Linked DNA regions of Canis lupus familiaris. The protein of the gene in region 2 purifies or fractionates together with the protein of the main gene of each other region. This does not show direct contact. Links are inferred from orthologs where the notes say so. Each region holds a gene or a part of one and is shown on either strand. Other genes may lie near its edges. The genes, in order: ECD, ZNHIT2 and TSSC4.

Region 1 (7,806 bases), on a different chromosome or scaffold from region 2:
ACCAAAATGCCCTGTAAAAAAAAATCCTACACTTCCACACTCATGGTTTGACAGTGCTCATTTCTTCAACTCTTTTTTTTTTTTTCTTTTAATTTTTATTTATTTATGATAGTCATACCACAGAGAGAGAGAGAGAGAGGCAGAGACACAGGCAGAGGGAGAAGCAGGCTCCATGCACCGGGAGCCCGACGTGGGATTCGATCCCGGATCTCCAGGATCGCGCCCTGGGCCAAAGGCAGGCGCCGAACCACTGCGCCACCCAGGGATCCCCATTTCTTCAACTCTTGAGAAAACTCAGTATTGTGAATATTTTAAATCTTTGCCAATATAATAGGCAAAAAAATAAGTTCTTATTTTGCATTGTGTATTTACTTATTAGAAACAGTTAACTATTCTCCAATATTTATTTGTCTATATTTCTTCTTCAAGGCATTGCTTATTTATATTCTTTGTTTTTGTTTTTGTTTTAAATTGGGCTATTTAGGGATGCCTGGGTGGCTCAGGGGTTGAGCATTTGCCTTTGGCTCAGGGTGTAATCCCAGGGTCCTGGGATCGGGTCCCACATCGGGTTCCCCTTCGGGGGGGTCTTGCTTCTCCCTCTGCCTGCGTCTCTGCCTCTCTCTGTGTCGCTCATGAAATAAATACATAAAATCTTTTAAAAAATTGGGCTATTTGTCTTTTTATTATTAGTGTTAAGTACAGTAAGTTTAAAAGAGAAAAAACAGTATAACATGGAACCCAAGGCAAAACCATATCTAGCCACAGCATTCACTCACTCAACAAATATTCAATGAGCAGCTAGTATGTTAGGCACTGAGCTAAGCATCCTCTGCAAAATCATTCAACTGGGCAGAAGTTTATGATTGAAAGCAATTCAAAATCATGAGGCAAAAGCAAATACTCTGACTTCAAGAGATCCAATGCTCCAGTGCTCTAGCAACAGCTTTGCTATTTACCATTTCAAAATGAAAATAAACATCACAATGTAACTTACCTAAAATTTTGTCAAAATAATTAAGAAAAGAATCTGCATCAAAAGTGATTGGAGCCTCAGAAGGTTCTCTGTAAGATTAAAGGAAAAAATCATTTATCTTGAATACAACTCTCTGGCACTTTTTTTTTTTTTTAAGGCAGTGCCATTCTTAGGAACACTACCATAGATATGATCTCAAAATAAGTGGAGCAAGAAAAACTGTAGTTTAAATGGTCTTGCAAAGCAAAAGAAATGGGAAAGACTGATAAATAAAAGTAAAAATTTCACTTTGTTTATGCATATTTAACTTATGCTGATTCAGGGACCTACCCACCCTGCACTTCCCACAAGATACACACACACACACACACACACACACACACACATACACACACACACACCATCAGCAGGCGAAATCACATATCTGAGTTAATTTTAAGAAAGTCTATTTGTTTAAGAACTAAACTTTTAAAAGTAAGAACATACTTTCTCTTATCTCTGCTTTTTCTTTTTTTAAAAGCTGGCTCCACACTGAGTGTGGAGGCTTGAACTCACAACCCTGAGATCAAGACCTGAGCTGAAATAGAGTTGGACACTTGGGCAGCCTGGGTGGCTCAGTGGTTTAGCGCCGCCTTTAGTCCTGGAGACCCGGGATCAACTCCCACGTCGGGCTCCCTACATGGAGCCTGCTTCTTCCTCTGCCTGTGTCTCTGCCTCTCTCTCTCTCTCTCTGTGTGTGTGTCTCATGAATAAATAAATTAAAATCTTTATTAAAAAAAAAAAGAGTTGGACACTTAACTGATTGAGCCACCCAGGCGTCCCCTTACCCAATCTCTTTTCTTAAAGAGAGAATACAGAATATAAATTTTAATCTTATGAGGCTCAAGAGCATCAACACGAATAAAGATATATTTGCTGTTTAAGTGACAATTCCATCTACCTTACTTTTCTATTACTTGCCAAATGTAACTTCCCATTTCTTCTGTTATTATTTCTTCTCTGATGAGCTCTTTAATCTCCCTCTTTTGAATATGAAACTTCCAATCTGCTTGTGGGGTGGGAGATTGGAAGTGTGGATTTGCTGAGAGCTAGATGTTAGGAGTCCGTAAGATTCTGAGTAAAAGTTTAAAGAGTAAAATGTACGATTTCCTTGCACAGCTCTGGGATGGAAGCTTTTAGATCTGTTGAGTAGTCTGACTTACTTTAAGAATTGCAAAGAATCAGGCTATTAGAAATACAACTCCAGATAACTCATCATGGTATTAGGCACCAAAAGAAGAAACACAGAAGTACAAATCATTTACTGAAAAGAAAAATAAAAGAGTGGAAATGGCAATGACTAGATGACTTCAACACCTGCATTCTAGCTACTTAGATATTTATATTCTAACACAAATTACCGAGGCAGCTCTGCTCCTTTGTGGGTTGAGACTTTGGATATGAAAGCTTTCATACTTTCTGAGACTTGATTTAAGTCATAGTTCTGTTCTTCCTTCTTGGAAGTGGGCTCTGCTTCTTTTTTGCCAGCAACTTCCTGCAGTAGTTGGTCCAGTTGATCTGGTGAGAGATCCAACCACTGGTCATCTGAAAAAGAAGAAAACATGATGCTGCCATACCAAATTCGCATGTCAAGTATTCTCAGAGAAGTGCCCTGTAGACTTAGTGGAATATTTTCATTTTCCCTAATCCTAACTCTATCCTGGTCCATCACTTACCATCTTCTGGGGGAAGATTAGCTTCTTCCTTCTTAAGCTCTTCTATATCAAATGGCATGGTCTGTAATAAGGTTAAGATTTCTTCACCTGGGCTCATAGCAAGACAGCTATAAAAAAAAAAAAAAGACATAGGGATTTTTTCATAAGACAGTGCTGAATAATAGTCACAAAAAAATAGTATTTTAAGGCTGGGAGGAATTATCTAATTAATTTGTTTTTAAACAATTGTTTTAGGTTACAGACCCCTTTTTCTCAAATAAAATTTTACCAGGAACTCTAAAATATAAAAAGAGCTCAAAGAAAACCGCTTTGTACAGCAAAGGAAATCATCAAACTGAAAAGGTAACCTACTGAATGGGAGAAAATGTTTGCAAAATCATACATCTGATGAAGGGTTAATATCCAAAATATATAAAGAACTCACACAACTCGATAGTAAAAAACAATCTGATTTAAAAATGGGCAGAGGGGGCAGCCCCGGTGGCTCAGTGGTTTAGCGCCGCCTGCAGCCCAGGGTGTGATCCTGGAGACCCTGGATCGAGTCCCACGTCAGGCTCCCTGCATGAAGCCTGCTTCTCCCTCTGCCTGTGTCTCTGCCTCTCTCTGTCTCCTCTCTGTGTATTCTCATGAATAAATAAAATCTTAAAAAAAAAATAAAAAATAAAAAAAATAAAAATGGGCAGAGGACCTGAATAAATATTTTTCCAAAGATGTACAAATGGTCAACAGGTACATGAAAAGGCACTCAACATCACTAATTATCAGGAAATACAGATCAAAATCACAATGAGATACGACCTCACTTCACACCAGTCAGAATGGCTATTACCAAAAAGATAAGCGAGTTGGTAAGGATGTGGAGAAAAGGGAATCCTCATGCACTGTTGGTGGGAATGTAAATTGGTGCAACCGCTATGAAAAACAGTATGGAGGTTTCTTAAAAAATTAAAAATAGAATTACCATACGATCCAGCAATTCTGCTTTTGGGTATATATTAAAGGAAATGAAAAAGGAATATTGAAGAGATACCTGCAATTCCCTTTACTGCAGCATTACTCACAACAGCTAAGATACTGAAAACCACCTCGTGAGTGTTTATCAATGGTTGACTGGATAAAGGAGATGTGCTATATTAAATAAAAGGTAATATTATCTAGAGAAATACGTATGTGAAAGAAGGAAATACTGTTATTTGTGAAATGGATTGAACTTGAGGGCATTATGCTAATGGAATAAACCAAATAGAGAATGATAAATACCACATGGTATCACACATATGTGGAATCTCAAAAATAAAATAAAGCTCATAGAGACAGTAGAAAAGTAGTTGAGAGGGACTAAGGAGTGAGGAAAATAAGGAGAGGTTGGTAAAAAGGTACAAAGTTTCTAAATACCTCTAAGGATCTAATTTAAAGCATGGTGACTATAGTTGATAACACTGTATCATATAATTGAAATCTGCTCAGAGAGTAGAACTTAAATGTTCTCATTGCCCACCATAAAGATAAATATGAGAGGTGATGGAACTGCCAATTAACTAGATCCCTCCATGTGTACATATATCAAGTCACCATGATGTACACTTTAAATATTTTATGATTTTGTTCCTCAATTATATCTCAATAAAACTGAAAAAGAAAAACTGCTAAGACTGAAATGGAGTATGGAGGTTCAGAGATGTATCCACCAGTTACATGTATCCATGTAACCTTTGGTTCTGCAGGAGGCCATATGGAACACCAGTCATAGAGCTGGACCAAATGCTGTGAAGAGTCACAGGAGAAAGTAATTAATCATATTAATTACAGAAAAGTTTAAAAAAAATGATAAAGACCATGGAAGTAGTTGAGTTAGGCCTTAAAGAATGGGGTAGGGGCTGCCTGGGTGACTCTGTCAGTTAAGCAACCAACTCTTTTTTTTTTTTTTTTTTTTTAAGATTTTATTTATTTATTCACGAGAGACACACACAGAGAGGCAGAGACACAGGCAGAGGGAGAAGCAGGCTCCATGCCGAGAGCCCGATGCGGAACTCGATCCCGGGACTCCAGGATCACACCCTGGGCCAAAGGCAGGCGCTAAACCGCTGAGCCACCTAGGCGTCCCAAGTGTCCAAACTCTTGATTTCAGCTCAGGTTATGATCTGTGTCATGAGATTGAGCCCTGCACTCAGTGGGGAGTCAGCTTGAGATTCTCTCTCCCTCTCCCTCTACCCCTCCCCCTGCTCACACACCCTCTCCCTTTCTCTTTAAGTAAATAAATCTTAAAAAACAAACAAACAAAAAGAACGGGGAAGATTTTGACAAATAAGACAGGGTAGAAGAACTTCAGGCAAAGGGGGAAATGAGCATCTGTAATAAAAGCAAAGAAGTACAGAGTGTGTTCACAAAGCAAATGTTCAGTTTGGCATAAGCATGGAGGATGAGCTGAACAGATGGACTGGGATGAGAGCACAGTGAGCCTGAAATGGCTAAGTTTGGACTCAATGAAATAAGCCGTGGGTGATCACTGATGGCTTCTTTTTTATTTTTAATTTTTGTTTTAAGAGATTTAAATAATATAGACAAGTCCAAAAGACACAGAAAAAAAAAGATTATATAACAAATGATCATATCCCTACTACCTAGAATTATATTGTTATACTTACTTCTAGTCTAAAGGTATGACTGATTACCCTTATATATTTAGCATAAAAAATTAAACAAATGATATATATGACTATAGTTACAGCTAATATTTTTCCTTTGATAACCAACACTATCAGTTCTAATCCATTTCATTACTGCCCAGAGGTGACTGCTCTTGCAAATATCCTTCTGGTCCATTGAGTGCACACACATGTATTTATGTTGTGTTTGCTGTTTGTTCTCTTTCTCTGGAATTTTATTCCTTCAGATACCTGTACGCCTCATTCCCTCACTTCATTTATATCCCTTCTCAAACAGAATCTCAGACATCATAGTGGCACCTGGGTGGCTCAGTTGGGTAAGGGACGGACTCTTGGTCTTAGCTCAGGTCATGATCTCAGCGTCATGAAGCTGAGCCTCACATCAGGCTCCACACTCAGCAGAGTCTGCTTATGGATTCTCTCTCTTCCTCTCCCCCTCTTTCCTTTTGTGCTCTCTAAATCAATCAATCAATCAATCAATCAATCTTTAGAATAGCAGCCTGTTCATCCCTCTCCTCATATACTGTTTTTACTTCAAAGCACTTATCACCATCTAACATCTATTGTCTTTCTCCTATACTAGCATATAAGCTTCATAAGGCAGGGAGACTCCCGGTTCACCTGTTATATCCCCAGTGCCTGGAATTGGGGAGATACATACATAAGAGATACTCAACAAATATTTGTTGAATGAATGGATATATACATATCCATAAATAACATATGGCATTTTGTGTACTAAACATTTTTATATGTATAACATCCATACTCTACATATTTACAACTTGCTTTTTTCACTCAACATCATGTTTTCAAAATCTATTTATTTAGATCAGTGGTTTTCAACTGGGGATAATTTTGCTCCCAGAGGACATCTGGCAATGTCTGGTGATATTTTTGGTTGTCACAATTGGAGGTGGTGTGGAGTGCTACTGGCATTTACTGGGTAGAAGTGAGGGATGTTGCTAAATATCCTATAATGCACAGAACAGTTCTCCACAACAAAGAATTATCTGATCCAAAATGTCAACAGTGCCAAGGTTGAGAAATCCTGGATTAGATTTACGTACATTTAGCTAATCTCTGGTTAACTAATGGATAGTAGTCCATCATACAAATACATTGCAATTCATTTATCTACTATCGATGGATACTTACGTTGTTCAATTTTTCATTGTTACAATCTCTAATAATTTTTAGGAAAGGGATTAAAGATGTTTGAAGATATATTTCAGGCATATTCTCCTGGCTCTAATGGTTGCTTTGGAAGAGAAGAGTCATTAGAGGTTAGGAAACAAGTGTAGGTATTGCCATAATTCAAGAAGTAAGAAAAAAAAAAAAAGAAAAAGAAGTAATTAGAGTAAGTGGGTGGTAAAAAAAGAAAAATGCAAGATACAACATGATAATAAAAAGGATCAAGGGACTGGATACAAGGAGAGCCAGGGAGTCTAGGTGACAAGAAGTGGGAAACAGTCTATGATATTAATCCAGGTACTTAAAAAACAACAATAACAACACTGGGAATTCAAGAATAGGTTTTGGTGGGAGATGTGAGTTTGGTTTTAAACTGTTGAGAAGTTTTCCTTGTTTGAGGAATGGGAGTCTCTTTTGCAACACTATTTAAAATGCTGGCCATGTAAGTTACTTATAATTCTTTCTCCAGTAGTAAAAATGTGGTAAGTTATGATACATCAATTTGCTGAAATGTTGTGGAGCTCTTTAAAATTATGCTTATAAAGACCTTTTAATGTCATGGGGAAAAGTAAGATTATAATGAGTAAAAATTAGGGACAGAACACAAATTTTTATATAGTATAAAAATGTTTTAAAAATAACTAGATGGATATGGGGGGCAGAATCCTGGAAGGCAATAGATAAAAATGGTAATAGTGGTTGACTCTCTGGTATAAATTTTTTCCTTATTACATCTTTCTGTATTTGCTATAATGAATGAATGTGCTACTTTTATAACAACAAACGTCATTATTTTAAAAAAGCTACCCAGCCACCAATCTATCTTGTTTTGTGCAAGCCCTAACTAATATATGAGTCTGTCTAATTTCTTAACATTTCTTTAACCCAGGTCTGTAAGGTAACTTCTCCACAGGCAGAGTGGCCCTTTCAGGCAGATGGGAATCGTCTGGGGGAGATTCTTCTAACCATGAGGGGCCACCTATTTTACTCCCCTCTCTTTCCCATGTTTTCTGAAATGATACCCTAAGAATGAATTCTCTTTTTATCACCAATTACTGCCATAAAACTGATGGGAATGGGACAAAGGCATACACAGACACTCCTGAAAGAAAGGACTGCTGTAAAGTCATTATTATCTCATAGACAACTGAGGCTAGAGTTCTCTCAGTATCAACTTTGCTTCATCAGTCCTCAAAGAACATAAATAAGTGACGTCTGAGACATAAGCAAAATGACTGGAGGTCAAGACCAGTAAGTT
Region 2 (7,584 bases):
AGGTGAGAGGGGTTCCAGGAGGGTGCAGACAGGAGTAGATGGGGGTGCTCGCTTGAATCTTCAGCCTCCATTATTCTCCAGGCAATCCCATTTACGACTTCTTCCTGGGACGGGAGCTCAACCCGCGCGTCTGGTCCTTTGACTTCAAATATTTCTGTGAACTGCGGCCTGGCCTCATCGGCTGGGTATGCTGGGCATGGCTACATGGGCCAGAAGGAGGGGGGTGGGATGAGTAAGTAGTGCTTGGGCAGGGCACTATTGCACAGATGTAAACCATTAATCATTCATTCATCCGACAAATATTTGTTGAGTCCACTCTGTGCCCTGGGCACTGCTCTAGGTACAAGGAGACAAAAGAGAAAAAAGTTACAGGAAAGCATAGTAAAAAAAAAATCTGTTCTCAACCTACTTTCTATTGGGAAAGATAGACAAAAATAAAATATATATAGCATGGCAGGGGATGCTAAGTGCTAGGAAGAAAAAGTATGGAGGGAGTTAGGTGAACAGGTGCAACTTTAAATAAATCAGCTCAAAATCTATTTTGAGGACAGGAGAGCTCATGCTATGCTGCCCGCTCGTTCTAGCAGTGCAGAACCTGAGACAGATCACTGGGCATAGCAAGCTGTCCATCACTAGTGGCCTTGATGTCATGCCAACTGTGGTTTTGGGTTAACACCACCCAGGCTGGACTGTGGTCAAGATTTCCCAAGGGTCTCTTGGGCAAGGTGCTCATGTCATCCTAGAAACTAGAGGTGAGAGGAAGCCAAGTATCCACCATGGATCTGCATCCTGGCCTCTGAGGTGATTTCCCCATGTGTGAAATGGGATCAGACCTTCCTGTGAAGGTTCTTGTGAGGATCAGAAGTGGTCGTATTAATGACAGCACCAAACCCACTGATATCAGAATGGAGGCGGCCTCTGGCTAATCATGAGTATGTGCTGGACACATCATGTTTCGTGCTGCCCATGCATCATGTCAATGAGTCCTCAGCTCTGTGATGCAGGTCCATGATTATTTTCATTTCCCACATGGGATGGGGGAAAAGTGTCTTTGGAGAGGGTAAGCTACTTGCCGAAGTGGCAGAGCTGAGATTTAAGACCAGGTCTGTTTTCATCCTCAAGCCTAAAATGTCCAGTGGCTTTCTATGTTGCTCTCCCCAAAGGAACATTACTGGACAAGGCAAGAGCCAACAGGAGGTTGCACCTCTGGAAGCATCTGTTGGTCTTTGTACAGGGGCTGGATCCATTCAATAAAGGGCCCAGGACTTGGTGACTGAGAACCAAGACAGATAAGCCACTGCCCCATCTAGGTGCTGCCACCTCTGTGGAGATAGGCTGGGGACAGACTGCCCTGTCCTCCCTCTCCCACAACCCCAGGTCCTCATCAACCTGGCCATGCTGATGCAGGAAGCAGAACTTCGGGGGAGTCCCTCACTGGCCATGTGGCTGGTCAATGGCTTCCAGCTACTCTATGTGGGTGATGCTCTCTGGCATGAGGTGAGGCTGGATGGGGTGAAGAGGCAGGGAGGGTGTTTGAGGACCTCATGGGGACTAAGCTAGTGTTTCTGGGTCTCATCCCTGCAGGAAGCTGTTCTCACCACCATGGACATCACACATGATGGGTTTGGCTTCATGCTGGCCTTTGGGGACCTAGCCTGGGTACCCTTCACTTACAGCCTGCAGGCCCAATTCCTGCTGCACCACCCACAGCCCCTGGGGTTGCCTGTGGCCTCAGTCATCTGCCTCATCAATGGTCAGTCATGAAGGGGCTCCTACCCCTTTCATTCATTCATGTTGTTTATTCAGTACCCGGTAGGTACTAAGCCTCAGGCATTTCCTTAAGAAGGGGTGGAGGTGTGTGGGGGGCGGGGAGGACTGGGTCCTGGGTCTCCAGGCCAACTGAATCTGGGCTGTGGGTGGATGGTCAGTCAGGTAGTAGGCTAAAAACCTTAACCCTGACCACTTGTTCACGCTTTCCCTTAGCTGTTGGTTACTACATCTTCCGAGGAGCTAATTCCCAGAAGAACACCTTCCGAAAGAATCCTTCTGACCCCAGAGTGGCTGGTGAGCTGGGTTTCTAGGGTGCTACGAGGTGGTGCAGCAGGGCTTCCTACAGGTTCCCTCATCCCATTACCTGTCTTTCCTCAGACCTTGAGACCATCCCCACAGCCACCGGGCGACAGCTGCTGGTGTCTGGGTGGTGGGGTATGGTCCGCCATCCCAACTACCTTGGAGACCTCATCATGGCTCTGGCCTGGTCCTTGCCTTGTGGTGAGTGGCATGGGTGGGCACAGAACAGGGACCACGTCAGGGACAGAGGTGGTGATCACAGGATGCTCAGTCTGGGTGTGGAATGGAGAACAGGGATACACCCTAGTAGAGGGAGCAGTCAGGAGGCTGGGAATGGACTGCGTAGCTGTGCCAGCACCTTGCTGCAGAGCTGGACCTTTCACCACAGCCCCAATGTCCTATGAGCCATTAGATGTGGAAGTCTTTGTGAACTGGAGGGGCTGCTGAGCGATCACAGCCTCTACTTCCCCACAGGAGTGTCTCACCTGCTACCCTACTTCTACCTCCTCTACTTCACGGCACTACTGGTACACCGTGAGGCTCGGGATGAGCAGCAGTGCCTGCAGAAGTATGGCCTGGCCTGGCATGAATACTGTCGGCGTGTGCCTTACCGAATCCTGCCCTACATCTACTGAAGCAGCTCCACTCACCCCAGACTGGGGCATGTGCACTCAGCACCAGGAGACTGGACTCCTACCCTGCTCCAAGCTCCAACAAGCAGGGATGAACAGCCCGGGAGAGGTGCTCTGGAGCAAGGAGAAATGAAGCCAGTGCCCAAAAATGGAGTGGAGGGGCTGTTCTTTCTCCTTGGATAAACATCTAGAAACCATGGTACCACTTCCCTCCCTTTCTGGGGCCAGGGCGTTTAAAACTTTCTAGGTAAGCTCTGATCCAGGAAAAGCTGAAGTGGTCTATGGGCCCAAGAGTCTGGGGGTGGGGTGGGCAAGAGCTGTTCCTCAGAAACAGGCACTGCTGACAGGGAAGACCAGCTTTATTAATGACAAAGAGATCCCAGTTCAGCCAGGGAGCTCCTCAATGAGAATTCTTGGAGCAGGTGGCAGGGGTCCTCCCCAAAGCTGCTCCAACTCCTCGGTGAGGGCTACCACCTCCTCGGCCGCCACAGCATGGGCTCGATGGGCCCTTGCACAATCTAGAGCCAGGGATGTGAGGGCCGCCTCATTTTCATTGCTCCAAGCCAGCAGGAACTGGCACTTCTTCCGCGCCCGATAGAGGCGATCTCGCTCTTCCGTAGCCACAGCTTGCTTCCGGGCCTGGCTCAGGGTCTGTGCCAGGTGCCCCAGGGCTGCCAGCGTGTAGCCTTTCCGGTTGGCGGGGCTTTCACCCATCAGGATGCGGGCGGCTTCGCGTATGGCACCCCGTGTGCCCAGGGGCCCAGGCGGATGCTCGCCCGCTTCCAGCACCTGGGCTGCGGCCTGCAGGGCTTCCTCAGCAGAGGCGAAGACCTGCTGCGCACCCAGGGCTCCGGAAACGCCGAGCAGTGTGGCACAGAAGTCAGAGAGCAGTGCTTCGTCGCCGCCGTGATACAAGACGAGAGTGTGCGCATAGGCGAACAGCACGTTGGGCAGCTGGAAGCGCACGAGCGGCGAGGCCCGGCCGCGGCTCAGACTGGCCAGCACGGGGATCCGGGTGGGCACGGCGGGCGCGCAGGCCTCGGGAGGGTCTTCGAGAAACGGCTCAGCGGCGGCCTCCTTCACGGGTTCCGGGGGCGTCCTCGCGGGGGTGGGCTCCAGCTCCGCAGGGTCACGGTCCGCAGCATCACCCACCTCCTCCAGAAGCCGCGGCCCAGCCCCGCGGCCCCACCACCACGGCCTCCATGGGGGCAGCAGCCGCCCGGCCTCGCCACGATTCAGCAGCCGCTCGAAGGCCACCTTCTCTGCCGGGGCCAGTAGCTCCCAGAGTCTGGAGGGCCCGCCTGGCGCCGGGCCAGGCCTGAGGCCTGCGTCCTCGGGGTCGTCCTCGGTCTCGCGTTGCCGACGCAGCCGGCGTAGGGCGCTGGCCAGACGGCTGGGCGAGGCGCTGCGGCCGCGAAGCTCGCCCAGCACCTGGTCCCGGTAGAAGTCTTCGGCGCAGGTGCCATGCGCCCGGTAGCAGCGCAGGGAGCAGTAGGGCACATTACAGCGAGGACAGGTGTAGCGCGCGGGCTGGGCCTCCCCGGCCGGGCAAAAACCGCACGGCCCGGCCGGCTCCATGGCAACGGGCGCCCCGCGCCGCTTACGAACGCTCTCAGGCCGCGCGGGGCAACTTCCGGCGCTAACCGGCTACTTCCGCCTCCGGGCAAGGCCGACGGGGCGTGGTCAAAGCCCCCGAGGACTCTCGGCAACTTCCGCCCCTGCTCGGTGGCCAAGCCCCACCCCTCTATCTAGTAGCGCTCGAGCCGGCGCCGGCGTGGGTCGAGGGGGCTGGTGCGCAGCCGGAGCTCCGCTGGTGCCCGCCCGCCCCCCAGTGGCTCCTTTTTGAGCGCTATAAAACGCCCTTGGGGAGTCGATCTTCGTGAGGCCCTACTCGGGCCACTAATTGCGCAGGGCCCTGGGGAAGGAGGCGTGTTGAGCTGAGGGGCAGCCGTTCTCCTACGGGACAGAGACCAGTAAAGCGAGATGTAGAAATAGGGTGAATATGGACTACGTGGCCGAGACTCTGTTTTTGGAGGTGTTTCCCCTCTTGAGAAGAAAGAACAGGTAACTGAGCTCCTGTTTGGTTTCCCCTCCAAATCCATGGTTCATCCGACCTTTATTTTTTTTAAAGATGTTATTTATTTATTTGTTTGTTTATTTATTTATTTATGAGAGACAGATACGGGGGGGCGGGGGAGAAGCAGGCTCCATGCAGGGAGCCCGACGTGGGACTAGATCCCGGGTCTCCAGGATCACGCCCTGGGCTGAAGGCGGCGCTAAACCGCTGAGCCAGCCCGGCTGCCCCGGTTCATCCGACTTTTAGTACCGAATCCATGCTATGTGCCAAAACACGAGGAGCAGAGATGGGATCCCTCGCCTGATGGAACTTCGTTTGAGGCCTTGATCCATGGCACCCGGGGAAGTGAGCTCTGGTTCTTTAGTCCCTCACATCTAGTCCTGTGGAGGCCGAGAAAATTAGGGCCATTCAAGTTTAACATTGGCACAAGTACAGCCATTGCACCTTGGGCAGCCATCTCAGGCCACTGTGACCAGGTACTGAACTCTACCCCAGCTACAGAAAAAAACCACAAAGCATGCCCTTATCAGAATAAGGAAGCAAGGGATCCCTGGGTGGCGCAGCGGTTTGGCGCCTGCCTTTGGCCCAGGGCGCGATCCTGGAGACCCGGGATTGAATCCCACGTCGGGCTCCCGGTGCATGGGGCCTGCTTCTCGCTCTGCCTGTGTCTCTGCCTCTCTCTCTCTCTCTCTGATGACTATCATAAATACATAAAAATTAAAAAAAAAAAAAAAGAATAAGGAAGCAAGAGCTTGTGAGACCTCTTTACTGGAGATTCTCACACCCCCACCCTTACTGAAACCCCCCCCCTTACCCCTAGACCAGCCCATAGAAACCCAGCTGTAACCCACCTCAGGGTCCAAGTCCCTGCTTCACTGTGTCAGGTATACTTGGACCCAAGCTCAAGCTTGTTAATAAACCCTTATGTGCTTGCATCCGTGTCAGCTCCTTGGTGGTTTTCTCGGATTCACAATCTTGGGCACAACAGTCCCATCCCAGTAAGTTCGACCTTCATAATACCTTGTCGTTATTTCTACATGGATCATCTATTTATCAAGATCTGGATGGAGATCCCTGGGTGGCACAGCGGTTTAGCGCCTGCCTTTGGCCCAGGGCACGATCCTGGAGACCCAGGATCGAATCCCACGTTGGGCTCCCGGTGCTTGGAGCCTGCTTCTCCCTCTGCCTAGGTCTCTGCCTCTCTCTCTCTCTGTGTGACTATCATAAATAAATAAAAGTTAAAAAAAAAAAAAAGATCTGGATGGATTTGATGACCTTCAAGTCCCTTCATTTTCTACATCCCCATTACCAGTCTCAGCTACTAGTCCCTTAACTGGCTCCCTTTCTTGCCAGCTGTTCAGAAAAATCAGCCACAAATTGGATCACCAGTCAGATCACATGATCACATCAGGCCCTGGCTTAAACCCTTCCCTGTACTTGGTAACTCTTCATTGCACTTGGACTCAGACCTGAACTCCTCCTCTCCATGTCTGATGAACCACACAGCTCTGCACACAGTCCCCTGGGCTGGACCTCTTCCATTATCTGATAGGTTTCAGGCCTCATACACCCCAGATTCAGAGGCCTTCCCTAGGATGTCTGTCCAACTCCACAGTCCCTTTCATTGTACCACCATTAATATTTCAATCTTTTTTTTTTTTTTAATTCACGACATAGAGAGGCAGAGAGACAGGCAGAGGGAGAAGCAGGCTCCATGCAGGGAACCGGATGTGGGACTTAACCCCGGGTCTCCAGGATCAAACCCCAGGCTGAAGGCAGCGCTAAACTGCTGGGCCACTGGGGCTGCCCACCAGGTCTCTTTTTAAAAAGATTACTAGAGATAAAAATAGGCTATATGTTTGCACATTTGCTAGCTGGAGGATTCTGAATCTAAGCCCTTCATATCTTTTATTCTTCACAGCAACTCTCAAGCTGTGATGGCAGAAATCAAGTAAGTTGTTTAAGGTCAGAAAATCAGAAGGAAGGATTCAAATTCAAGGCAGTCCAAGCCCGGATCTAAGGTCTTTACTTATGTTACACTGTATTTCAAGAATCAGCAGCATAAAAAATTTAGCAAAATGAGAGGAGATCCATGTTACTAGGGGAACCTCACGAGTCCCAGAGAATTCCACTCCCAGAACACTCAACTAACCAACCCACCATCCTAAGCTGTGATTAGGTTAAGGAAGCTAGCTAGTCAGGTGGAGGTACAAACAAGCTTAGTGTTAACATAATCAGGCAGGCAACATTCTAGAGACTACTTTTAGGCAACAGGCTTGAGCAATGGAAGCCCGGATAAGGTAGAAGGGCCCATAGTGACCACCGGGCCAAAATAGGCCCATTAGCAATCCACATCACCATAGCCCTAGCTGACCAATGAGCTGCTTACAAGGGATAGCTACTAAAAGTTCCACACATTCCCCTAACTCCACCCCTCTCCCTTAACTACAGGCCATCCCACTGCCTCCTGGCAGAAAGTCTCTCCTTTGACGCCACCACCCAGGGATCCCCCCCCCTCCAGAGTATTCAACCTGTGTATTTCTTTTGTTCTGCCCTAGGCAAACTCTTTTAGGGCTGGCACTGGCCTCTACCCAATAGGGTTGGCCCACACTTTCCCAAATAGGTACAGACTAGATCCCTGCCCTGGACTCCATTAAAGTCATAGCTGGTCTCAAGTTCAGGAAAGGTCAGATTAGCCTTCCCTGATAGGTCTTTTTACTCAAACTCCTCTACTGATGTCTTCATAATCCTCCTGAGAATTGTTATTGTCTGTTTAAAGAACAAGAACAGGGTGCCTGGGCAGCT
Region 3 (8,321 bases), about 5.7 Mb from region 2:
GCTTCACCCGCTGAGCCTCCCAGGCGCCCCCTCCACATCTGCTTTAAAATGGACGTGAGATAACCTGGCAGAGACCAGGCCCTGGTGGCACGTCTTCAGGGAATCGAGCCCCTCCCTTCTCTTGCCACAATGACCCCGAGCCGCTGCACTGAGGGGCCCGAGGGCCTGCACTCCTGACCGTCGGCGGGCTGTCCCCCACAGGAGGACTGCCACCAGAAGATCGATGACCTCTTCTCGGGGAAGCTGTACCTCATTGGCATTGCAGCCATCGTGGTGGCCGTGATCATGGTGAGTACACGGGCCAGGCATCCGCGTGAGGCGGCCCCACAGTCTCCGGGTGCTGACAGTCCCACCCACCCGTCCCCACAGATCTTCGAGATGATCCTGAGCATGGTGCTCTGCTGCGGCATCCGGAACAGCTCCGTGTACTGAGCGGCCCCGGCTGCACCTGCTGCGGGGAGGGCCGCTGGGAACCCTGCAGGGCCCCTAGAGTGACCGGACATTCTGAGGAGGGGCCGTCAGCGCCTGTGTATATAACTTCTCTGGTATTACTCTGCTACACTTATTAGCCTTTTTACTTCTGAGGTTTTCTGTCCTGAAGTCCCCCGTTACCTTTTGGGGCTGAAGTCACCTAGAGACGGCGTGTGAGTGGGCCTTGGGGACCGTGAGGCAGGGGCCGCTCTGCTTCTGCAGCTGCTTGGGGGCTCCGCCTGCTTAGTCAGGCCTCTCCCGGGGGCCCGGGGGCCCCGGGGCCCACCCACCTGCCCACGGGCTGCACGGCTCATGCCTTTTAACCCTCGTTCCTGTCGCCACTTGTCCCGAGCCGGGTCTGCCAGCAGCCTTCACCTTCAGTGCACCTGTCCTCTCTAACTCGTCACCTTCAGCTGTAATTACATCTTCAAAGTCATTCAATAAAGAAGGAAAAACCGGGCATGCTAACAAACTGTCTGGCCCCTTCCTGTGGCTGCGGCGTCTGAGACCCAGGGCGCAGCTGGAGCGGCAGGTGGGCCGGCATGGGTGAGGCTTGGCTCAGCTCCGCGGACCTTGCAGGGTGTGAGGGGCCCCTTTGGTGGGCCCGGTGCCACCGTCAGCAGCTTCCACCCAGCTCACTCCCCTACCCACTCTGTGGACACCACTGCCCAGAGGGGGCACTCAGGTAATGTGGCGTAGAGCCTGCAAGACTCCCCTCCATCCTGGGGGCCCGCTCTGTAGAGGACAGGCACACTGACCCTCCCATGCTCCGAAGGGACTCTTCAGAGCTTCTAGGTGTTCCGTGGAGAAGCTGGGGAGCAAGGTCTCAGCCACTGTGTGCGGAGTCCACCCGACCCACCCCCGTCCTGGACCGGGGCCCAGCTGCCTCCTCCCACCCCCACCCCCTCGGGAGTGCTGGGTGATGTCACCATGAGCTGAGTGCAGGCACTGACCTGGTGTATGCTGAACTGGCCCCTTGAGGCCATGAGGGCCTGGCTGGGATTCATGTGGAGGGCTGACAGCTGCCTCCCTTGGCGCTTGTTTTGGAAACTGGCCCCAGCCCTACTTTTGGGGTCATCAGGTCTCAGTGAGGTCTGCCCCTCCTGCCACACCCCTCCACCTTGTGTGCCAGGGTGGGTCCCTGAGAGAACAGAGTGGCCCAAGGAGCAGCCCTGCTTACTTGCCCCTGCACGACCCTGGGGATCCTGGCCTGCAGGCACAGCACAGCCAGTCTGTGCTGGGGAGACCGAGACTGGGGGCGCCCCCAGGAGGGCGGTTCCCTGGGGCGCCCTCGCACAGCGGCACACTGCAGCTGCAGGCGGGGCTGGGGGGCTGGGGGGCCCCCAGGAGGGCAGGTCCCTGGGGCATCCTCACACAGCAGCACACTGCAGCTGCAGGTGGGGCTGGGGGGCCCCCAGGAGGGCGGGTCCCTGGGGCGCCCTCGCACAGCAGCACACTGCAGCTGCAGGCGGGGCTGGGGGGCCCCCAGGAGGGCAGGTCCCTGGGGCATCCTCACACAGTGGCACACTGCAGCTGCAGGCGGGGCTGGGGGGCCCCCAGGAGGGCGGGTCCCTGGGGCGCCCTGGCACAGCGGCACACTGCAGCTGCAGGTGAGGCTGGGGCGCCCCCAGGAGGGCGGGTCCCTGGGGCGCCCTCGCACAGCTGCACACTGCAGCTGCTGGCGGGGCTGGGGGGCCCCCAGGAGGGCGGGGTCCCTGGGGCATCCTCGCACAGCGGCACACTGCAGCTGCAGGCGGGGCTGGGGGGCTGGGGCATCCCGACCTAGCTGCCCGGTGCTGCCGCAGGCCATGCTGGGCGGCCCCGGAAACGAGGGGTCCGCGGGCTTCCCGAGCACTCCAGGACCGCGGCCCCGAGAGACGCGGCCAGACCGGCCGTCAGGTGGGCAGCACCGGCCGGGCCGTCGGGACCGCGAGCCGAGCGCTCAGACGGAACCCGGCCCCCCCCCACCCCCTCCCCCTCCCCCTCCCCCGACCCACGAGCGGGCGGCCCGCACTTCCGGCCTGACCGGAAGCACCCGGCGACGATGCCGCGTGCGACGATGCACTTCCGGCCTGAGGCGGCCGCTGTGCTCGCGACTTCCAGCAGGCGGCGCTGGGGCCCCGGGAACGCGGCGCTGGCCGTTAGTCCTGGAGCATTCTGGGAGTCGCAGTGCTGCCTCTTCCTCCTCCTCCTTTCCCTCCTCAATTCCGGCTCTTTGCGCGAAGGAGAGCCGACGTTTCCGGGGAGGGGGGAGGCTAGGGAGAAAAGCGAGGACGCATGCGCAGGGGCTACGGGACCCGACAGGCCTCGGGAGTAGCGTCCCGGTGCCTTGTGGGAGGTGTAGTTCTTCAGGTGCGGACGCCGAGGCGCCGGGCCGGCGGAAGACTCGGTTTCCCAGGAGGCCGAGCGCGGCGAAAGATGGAGGCGGCCCGGCGGCTTTGAGCCGGTAGGCTTGTGGCGCGGGAGAGAGGTCGCCTTTTCGCAGCCTCCTCGCCCCACATCCCCGAGGTGTTTCGCGTCTTTGGTGGCTCCCCGAGCCTGGTGAGCCGCGGCCCGCGTGCGGCCAGGCCCCCGCCGGGGCGGAGACAGCCGGCGCCGGCTTCCACGGGCGGCCGAGCGCGCCCCAGCCCTGCCCCGGCCGAGCCGCCGGCCTCCGCGGAGAAGCCCGGGAGCCGCCGCGGCCGCTCGCTGTCGCGGGGCGCTGTGCCCGACCCCGGGGCGCCCGCCGGCCCGGCCGCCCCCCCAGGTCGCGGCGGCGCCCCGCCCTCCGGAGCTCCTTCCCTCGCGGGGACGTGCCAGGAGAGGCTGCTGCCGGAGCCGCGGGCTTGCCCTGCCCGCAAGGATGCCCCGGGCGGCCGCTGACCCCCCACTTCCCCGCGGGCCTGACGGTCAGACGCGGAGGCCCCGGCTGCAGACCCGCGTGGAGTCCCGGGGCGTCTGGGCAGGCAGGGGCAGCCCTTGCCTTGCCCAGGCAGGTGGCGCAGCTGTGCCGAGCAGCTCGTGGACGGGCCGCCTGGTCGAGCGCCGTCGTGGAGCGCAGAGCCTGCTGCTGCCCCCGGGCTGGGCCCTGGCTGCTGCCTGCCTAACCCCCAGCGGGCCCCTAGACTTAGCTCAAGAGGGCTGAATGAAGATCTTCCCGAAGGGTCTGCGTCCAGGCCGGCCTGGGCCTGGGCCCCGGAAACCCAGGACCGCCCCCTGGGGGTCGCGGTACCGCTTTGCCCTGGTGCTCCCTGACGATTTGCCCTTCCCACCTTCTGCCCGCTACAGTTGAGCAGCTAAGCGGAGCCGGGACTGAGGCCACCGGGCGCCTTTGCCGGGACTTCACCCACCAGAATTCTGGTGTCTGCACAGACGTTCATCAGACAACGGAGGTGAGACGTTGAGGGGGGGGCGGGTGTGGGAATCTCTGTCCTTTGTTTGGTAGGACATAGCTCTTCCTTCTGGCCCTGCCGCCTGCCCAGGGACTGTGGGTTTATAGGAGGGGCCCGTCCTAAATGGGTGCAATCCTCAGAAACGAACTCTTTGGGCTGTTCTGGTCTAGGTGTGGTGGCCCTGGGACACATGTCTGAGGTAGGGGTAGGAGAGCCCCTGGAAGCCGAGCGAGGAACAGAGGATGACGCTCTGCCTTCCGACACCGTCTCTCTCAGTGACTCGGACTCCGATTTCAGCTTGCCTGGCGGTACTGAGATGGAAGCTCTGCCCCCGGGGGTGCTATCTGGGGAGGCCCAGGGGGACTCAGACCCCGATGAGACCCCTTTGCCTCCAAAAGGCCTCCCCACAGCCTCAGTACAGCCCTTCCACCTGAGAGGCACGAGCTCCACCTTCTCCTGGCGCAGCCGCAACATCTTTGACTGCCTGGAGGACGCAGCCAGGCAAGACCCGGGTGACCATGGGGATTTCATGCAGCCACCAGCATCCTCACACCAGCGTCCAGGAGAGGGCCCGGGCAGGGCCAGTCAGAGCCCTGCCCCCACGAAGTTGCCCCCCATCCCTGACTACATGGCCCACCCTGAGCGCTGGACCAAGTACAGCCTGGAAAACGTAGCCGAGGTCAGTGAGCAGAGCAATCAGGCTGCCGCCCTGGCCTTCCTGAGCTCCCAGAGCCTGGCTGGCCCCAGAGACTACATGCCGTCCTTCAACCAGGATCCCTCCAGCTGTGGGGAGGGAAGAGTCATCTTCACCAAACCGGCCCGAGCTGGCGAGGCCAGGCCTGAGAGGAAGAGGGCCCTGAGGAAGGCAGGAGAGTCAGGCAGGGGTGCCCCTGGGGACCTGGGAGCAGCAGGGGGCGAGGGCCCTGTGGAGCTGGCCCACCTGGCAGGGCCTGGGAGCCCAGAGGCTGAGGAAGAGAACAGCCCCCACGGGGGGCTACAGGAAGTGGACGTGCCACAGGGGGCTGCCCATGCTAGGTCAGCGGTGGGGCCCCCAGTGGTGGAGACTGTTGGCTTCCATGGTAGCAGGAAGCGGAGCAGGGACCATTTCCGGAACAAGAACAACACACCTGAGGCCCCAGGTGCAGAGATTTGAGAGAAGAGACTGCCTGGCTGGCGTTTCCTGACCATGCGGTGGAGGAGGGCAGCCGGGGTCACTGGCCACTTGGAGTGGAGTGGAGCTTGGGGCCCCCCGCCCTGGAAAGGGAGCCAGCGGTCTGCCAGTGTGAGGCGCCAGCAGCCTGGGCTAGGGCTCGGGATAGTGGTCTCTGAAGCAGACAGCTTGCCAGTGGACAGCAAAGACCCTGGCCCACCACATGCCTGTGGGGCCACAGTAAAGGTTTTGGGTGTTGCTTAGACTTTGTGTGTGTGTGTTTGTGTAGATCCTGCGCCTCGGGCCATTGTCTGCCATGCTGTACACCCAACACCCGGTTCTCTCATTTGAGCCTCTTCAACTTAATCTCCAGTGGGCATGGAGGCTTTTTAAATGCTTGCCTGGGTTCACCAGCAGGCCCTCTTTCCAGCTCTCCTGATCCAGAGCAAGAGGTGGAGAAGGCCCCAGGCCCTCGAGGGGGCAACCTCACAGTCCCAGGTGTCCAGCTTCTGCTCCCAACAGGGTGATGAGATGGGTCTCCAGGAGGCCGGAATGTGAGTGGGGTCAGGGACTTCCTCATCCGGGCCATGTGTGATGATGACCAGTGTCCTGGTCACATCGCCAGAACAGCTGAGCCGTGTGCAGGGGCACTGGTGGTGTGACTGGCCCAACCTTGGGTTGGGGTGCATGGACCCCTGAGGGTGTCCGGGAAGGCAGACCAGACACAGATGTCTCCCTTGGTCCTGGTGGCAGGACCTAGCAGAGTTAAGCCATCCTGTCCCAGGATGTAGCTCGGGCAAGCACAGGAGCCAGCCCCTACCCCCCTCCCCAACACACACACACACACACACACACACACACACACACGGCAGGTTTTCTCAGGATAGCATTTGCCACGTGAGCAGTTGAGGGTGTGCAGGGGTGGGAACCAGTGTGTGTAGGAAACCCCTGACCCCAGGTCCTAAAGAGCAGAAGTTGTAGCTGCTAGTGTTTAAAAAAAAAAAAATGAGTCTTTTAACAGGCAACATGGGTCTGATAGGAGACAGGTACAGGCCCCAAAATTTGCCCACCAGATAAGTGCTTTGGCCTGAGCTGGGCAGTTTTGGGTAGGGGCCCACAGGTTCCACCAGTCTGGAGGAGGGCCTACCATACACCACCGTGCTTCCAGGTGGAGAGGGTACCCGGCAGGGCAAGGGGTGGTTTCTTTTGACAAGGCTGAGAGCTACATCCCACTGAGGGCTGCACTAGAGGTAGGGGAAGGTTGGTGTGTCCATAGGGCCTTGGGATGGCCAGCTAAGGGCCAAGACCCTGCCTGCCCATCCTGATCTGGGGCTCGGGGAGAGGTGGGCCCTGTGTGCCAGGAGTCCAAGTAGCTCAGGTGTCTGAGAGCGGCCGGCCAGCCTCTGGGTGCTTCCTGCTGTCTGCACCCCCTCTGTGGTCAGCAGAGGCCTGCTGGTGTCCACCTTTGAAGTTCTGGGAGTCTGGTGAGGAAGAAGGACCCCTAGCTGCTGGGTGTCCAGGGGGGTAGGCCCAGGGAAGGGAGTCTGAGTGGCCACGGCGTCACGCCTGGCTGAGGTGGTGGGCTTTGGCAGAGGGCACCTGCCCCACCCTAAAGACCACCTCCCACCAAGGGCCATCAGAGGCCTGGGCCAGTCCCCTTGCGGAACAGAAAGGCAGATGACACAGCAGAGCTTAACAGGCTTCTGCCTGCCCCCAGGCAAGCCTGTGCCCCTCCCGCAGCCCTGTCTTCTCCGGACACACACTTACTCCAGGAGGTGCTGCTCGGGGCCATGGAGGACAGGAGCACCGTACAGTAGTTGATCTAGAGGAGGGAGAACATCCAGGGAATCCCCGGGGCCCCTGCTAGCCTATGACCCTCCCCTTTGGGGTCTGTACTCGAGGGAATGGGCGTGAGAGCAAGGCTGCAGGTGTGGACAGTGAGGGATCACTTAACGGGGGCAGGTACAGCTCCTGCACCCCCCAGGGACTCTCCCTACACTGCCTCCTGAGTCCAAGCCTGACTGTGGACCTGTTAGTTGGGGTGCAGGGCTATGGGTGAGGGCCCCAGGTCAGAGGAGCATGAGGTTGGCCTGCCTACCTGTGACTCCAAACGCTTGATGCGCTTTTCTTGCTCTCTCAGGCCCCCGAGGTACTGGGCTACAGAGTCCACCCTGTAGCAGAAGCTGGTTGGCATGGGGTGCTCTCCATTTGGGCAATCTCTCCATCCTCCCTTTCCCTGGTCACCCAGGCCCTTTGAGTGGGTTTGGGATCACCGAGGCCTCTCTGCATGGAGTGGTCTGCCCTTGCCCGTCATCCCCAGATCAGGGTACAGAGCCTTTCTGCCCTCCCTGGGAGTGTGATGGGCTAAGGGGTTGCCAGTGAGGGCAGGGGATGAGGGCAGGCAGGAGCCGCAGGCCTGATGGGACAGTGGGCACAGACCGTTTTAGGGGGACCCAGGGGCAGAGGCAGGGGGGAATTTGTTCAGGAGGCCGCAGAGCAAGGAGGGGCCCCCCTGCCCCTCTCAGCTTCGGCCACCCCCACTCGGACCTGTGGCTGGACCTGTGACTGGCAGGGAGGGCCACGCCAGCTTTAAGCCGCCCGCCGCCCAGCAGTGATGATGGCAGGGGTCTCGGAGGGGCTCTCACAACCTCAGGCGCCCCACTCGGGGTCTGGCCCTCCCTCAGCAGGCACCTCACCCGCCCTCCTTGCCAGCCCCTCTTGGCGGCCTGTGGGGTGGGGGACGCAGTCCCCGGTCTCCAGGCCAGGGGGTGGGGGCTCCGGGGCGCCCGTAAAGCCCCTGTGTACCTGTGGGCTGTTTTTCGTAGCACCTCCTCCTTGCTGTCCTTCCTCTGCTTCTCCAGCTTGCTCAGGTAGTTCTCTTTCTGGACCGCCTCCCAGGTGACCATCTTCTGGTCCAGGGGCTCCGGCAAGTCTCTCTCTGGGAAGCCGGGATAGCCACAGGCTTGGCTGGAGCCAGGTGGGCCCCAGGGCCAGGGGAGCCCAGGCTGTGCCCAGCGGGTATCCGGCCCCAGGAGCCCTGGCACCAGCGAGGCCCACCCCCGGCCCTACCGGTTACTGTGCACAGGCCCTGGGGATGAGGTGGAGGGAGGGCAGGGGGCGCAGCCCGTGTCAGCTGCTCTGGGCCTTGGGGGCTGAGGAGGGGACCCAGGCCTCTGCCCACCTGGCACCTCGCCCATCCCCCTGCACGCGGCCTGCCCTGTGGCCTCACCCAGGTGCACCCGCTTCTGCTCAGCCCCCTTCTGGAAGACCCTCTTGATCACCAGGCTCAGGTGGCTGAGGAGGATGAAGGGTGGCGCCAGGGCGGGGCG

The links.
Region 1: the proteins of ZNHIT2 (region 2) and ECD purify together in Homo sapiens (affinity purification with mass spectrometry; 3 studies listed by BioGRID and IntAct, counting the BioPlex papers as one, with this or other methods). This does not show direct contact. The link is inferred for Canis lupus familiaris from reciprocal best matches to the Homo sapiens genes ZNHIT2 and ECD.
Region 3: the proteins of ZNHIT2 (region 2) and TSSC4 purify together in Homo sapiens (affinity purification with mass spectrometry; 3 studies listed by BioGRID and IntAct, counting the BioPlex papers as one, with this or other methods). This does not show direct contact. The link is inferred for Canis lupus familiaris from reciprocal best matches to the Homo sapiens genes ZNHIT2 and TSSC4.

The regions. Positions count from the first base shown.
Region 1 is NC_049225.1:24,455,753-24,463,558, forward strand, and holds part of ECD (protein ecdysoneless homolog), read right to left. Parts: intron 2,796-7,806; coding exon 2,689-2,795; intron 2,558-2,688; coding exon 2,374-2,557; intron 1,063-2,373; coding exon 995-1,062; intron 1-994. UniProt on the Homo sapiens protein: Regulator of p53/TP53 stability and function. Inhibits MDM2-mediated degradation of p53/TP53 possibly by cooperating in part with TXNIP. May be involved transcriptional regulation. In vitro has intrinsic transactivation activity enhanced by EP300.
Region 2 is NC_049239.1:52,580,592-52,588,175, reverse strand, and holds ZNHIT2 (zinc finger HIT domain-containing protein 2), read right to left. Parts: upstream 4,347-7,584; 5' UTR 4,281-4,346; coding exon 3,087-4,280; 3' UTR 3,044-3,086; downstream 1-3,043. Other genes in the region: delta(14)-sterol reductase TM7SF2, read left to right, coding at 1-2, 82-185, 1,378-1,497, 1,585-1,753, 1,984-2,064, 2,149-2,271, 2,545-2,705. UniProt on the Homo sapiens protein: May act as a bridging factor mediating the interaction between the R2TP/Prefoldin-like (R2TP/PFDL) complex and U5 small nuclear ribonucleoprotein (U5 snRNP).
Region 3 is NC_049239.1:46,928,179-46,936,499, forward strand, and holds TSSC4 (protein TSSC4), read left to right. Parts: upstream 1-2,724; 5' UTR 2,725-3,012; intron 3,013-3,738; 5' UTR 3,739-3,842; intron 3,843-4,012; 5' UTR 4,013-4,032; coding exon 4,033-4,995; 3' UTR 4,996-5,257; downstream 5,258-8,321. Other genes in the region: CD81 antigen, read left to right, coding at 202-288, 370-432; TRPM5 (transient receptor potential cation channel subfamily M member 5), read right to left, coding at 6,367-6,473, 6,760-6,814, 7,091-7,163, 7,798-7,930, 8,222-8,321. UniProt on the Homo sapiens protein: Protein associated with the U5 snRNP, during its maturation and its post-splicing recycling and which is required for spliceosomal tri-snRNP complex assembly in the nucleus.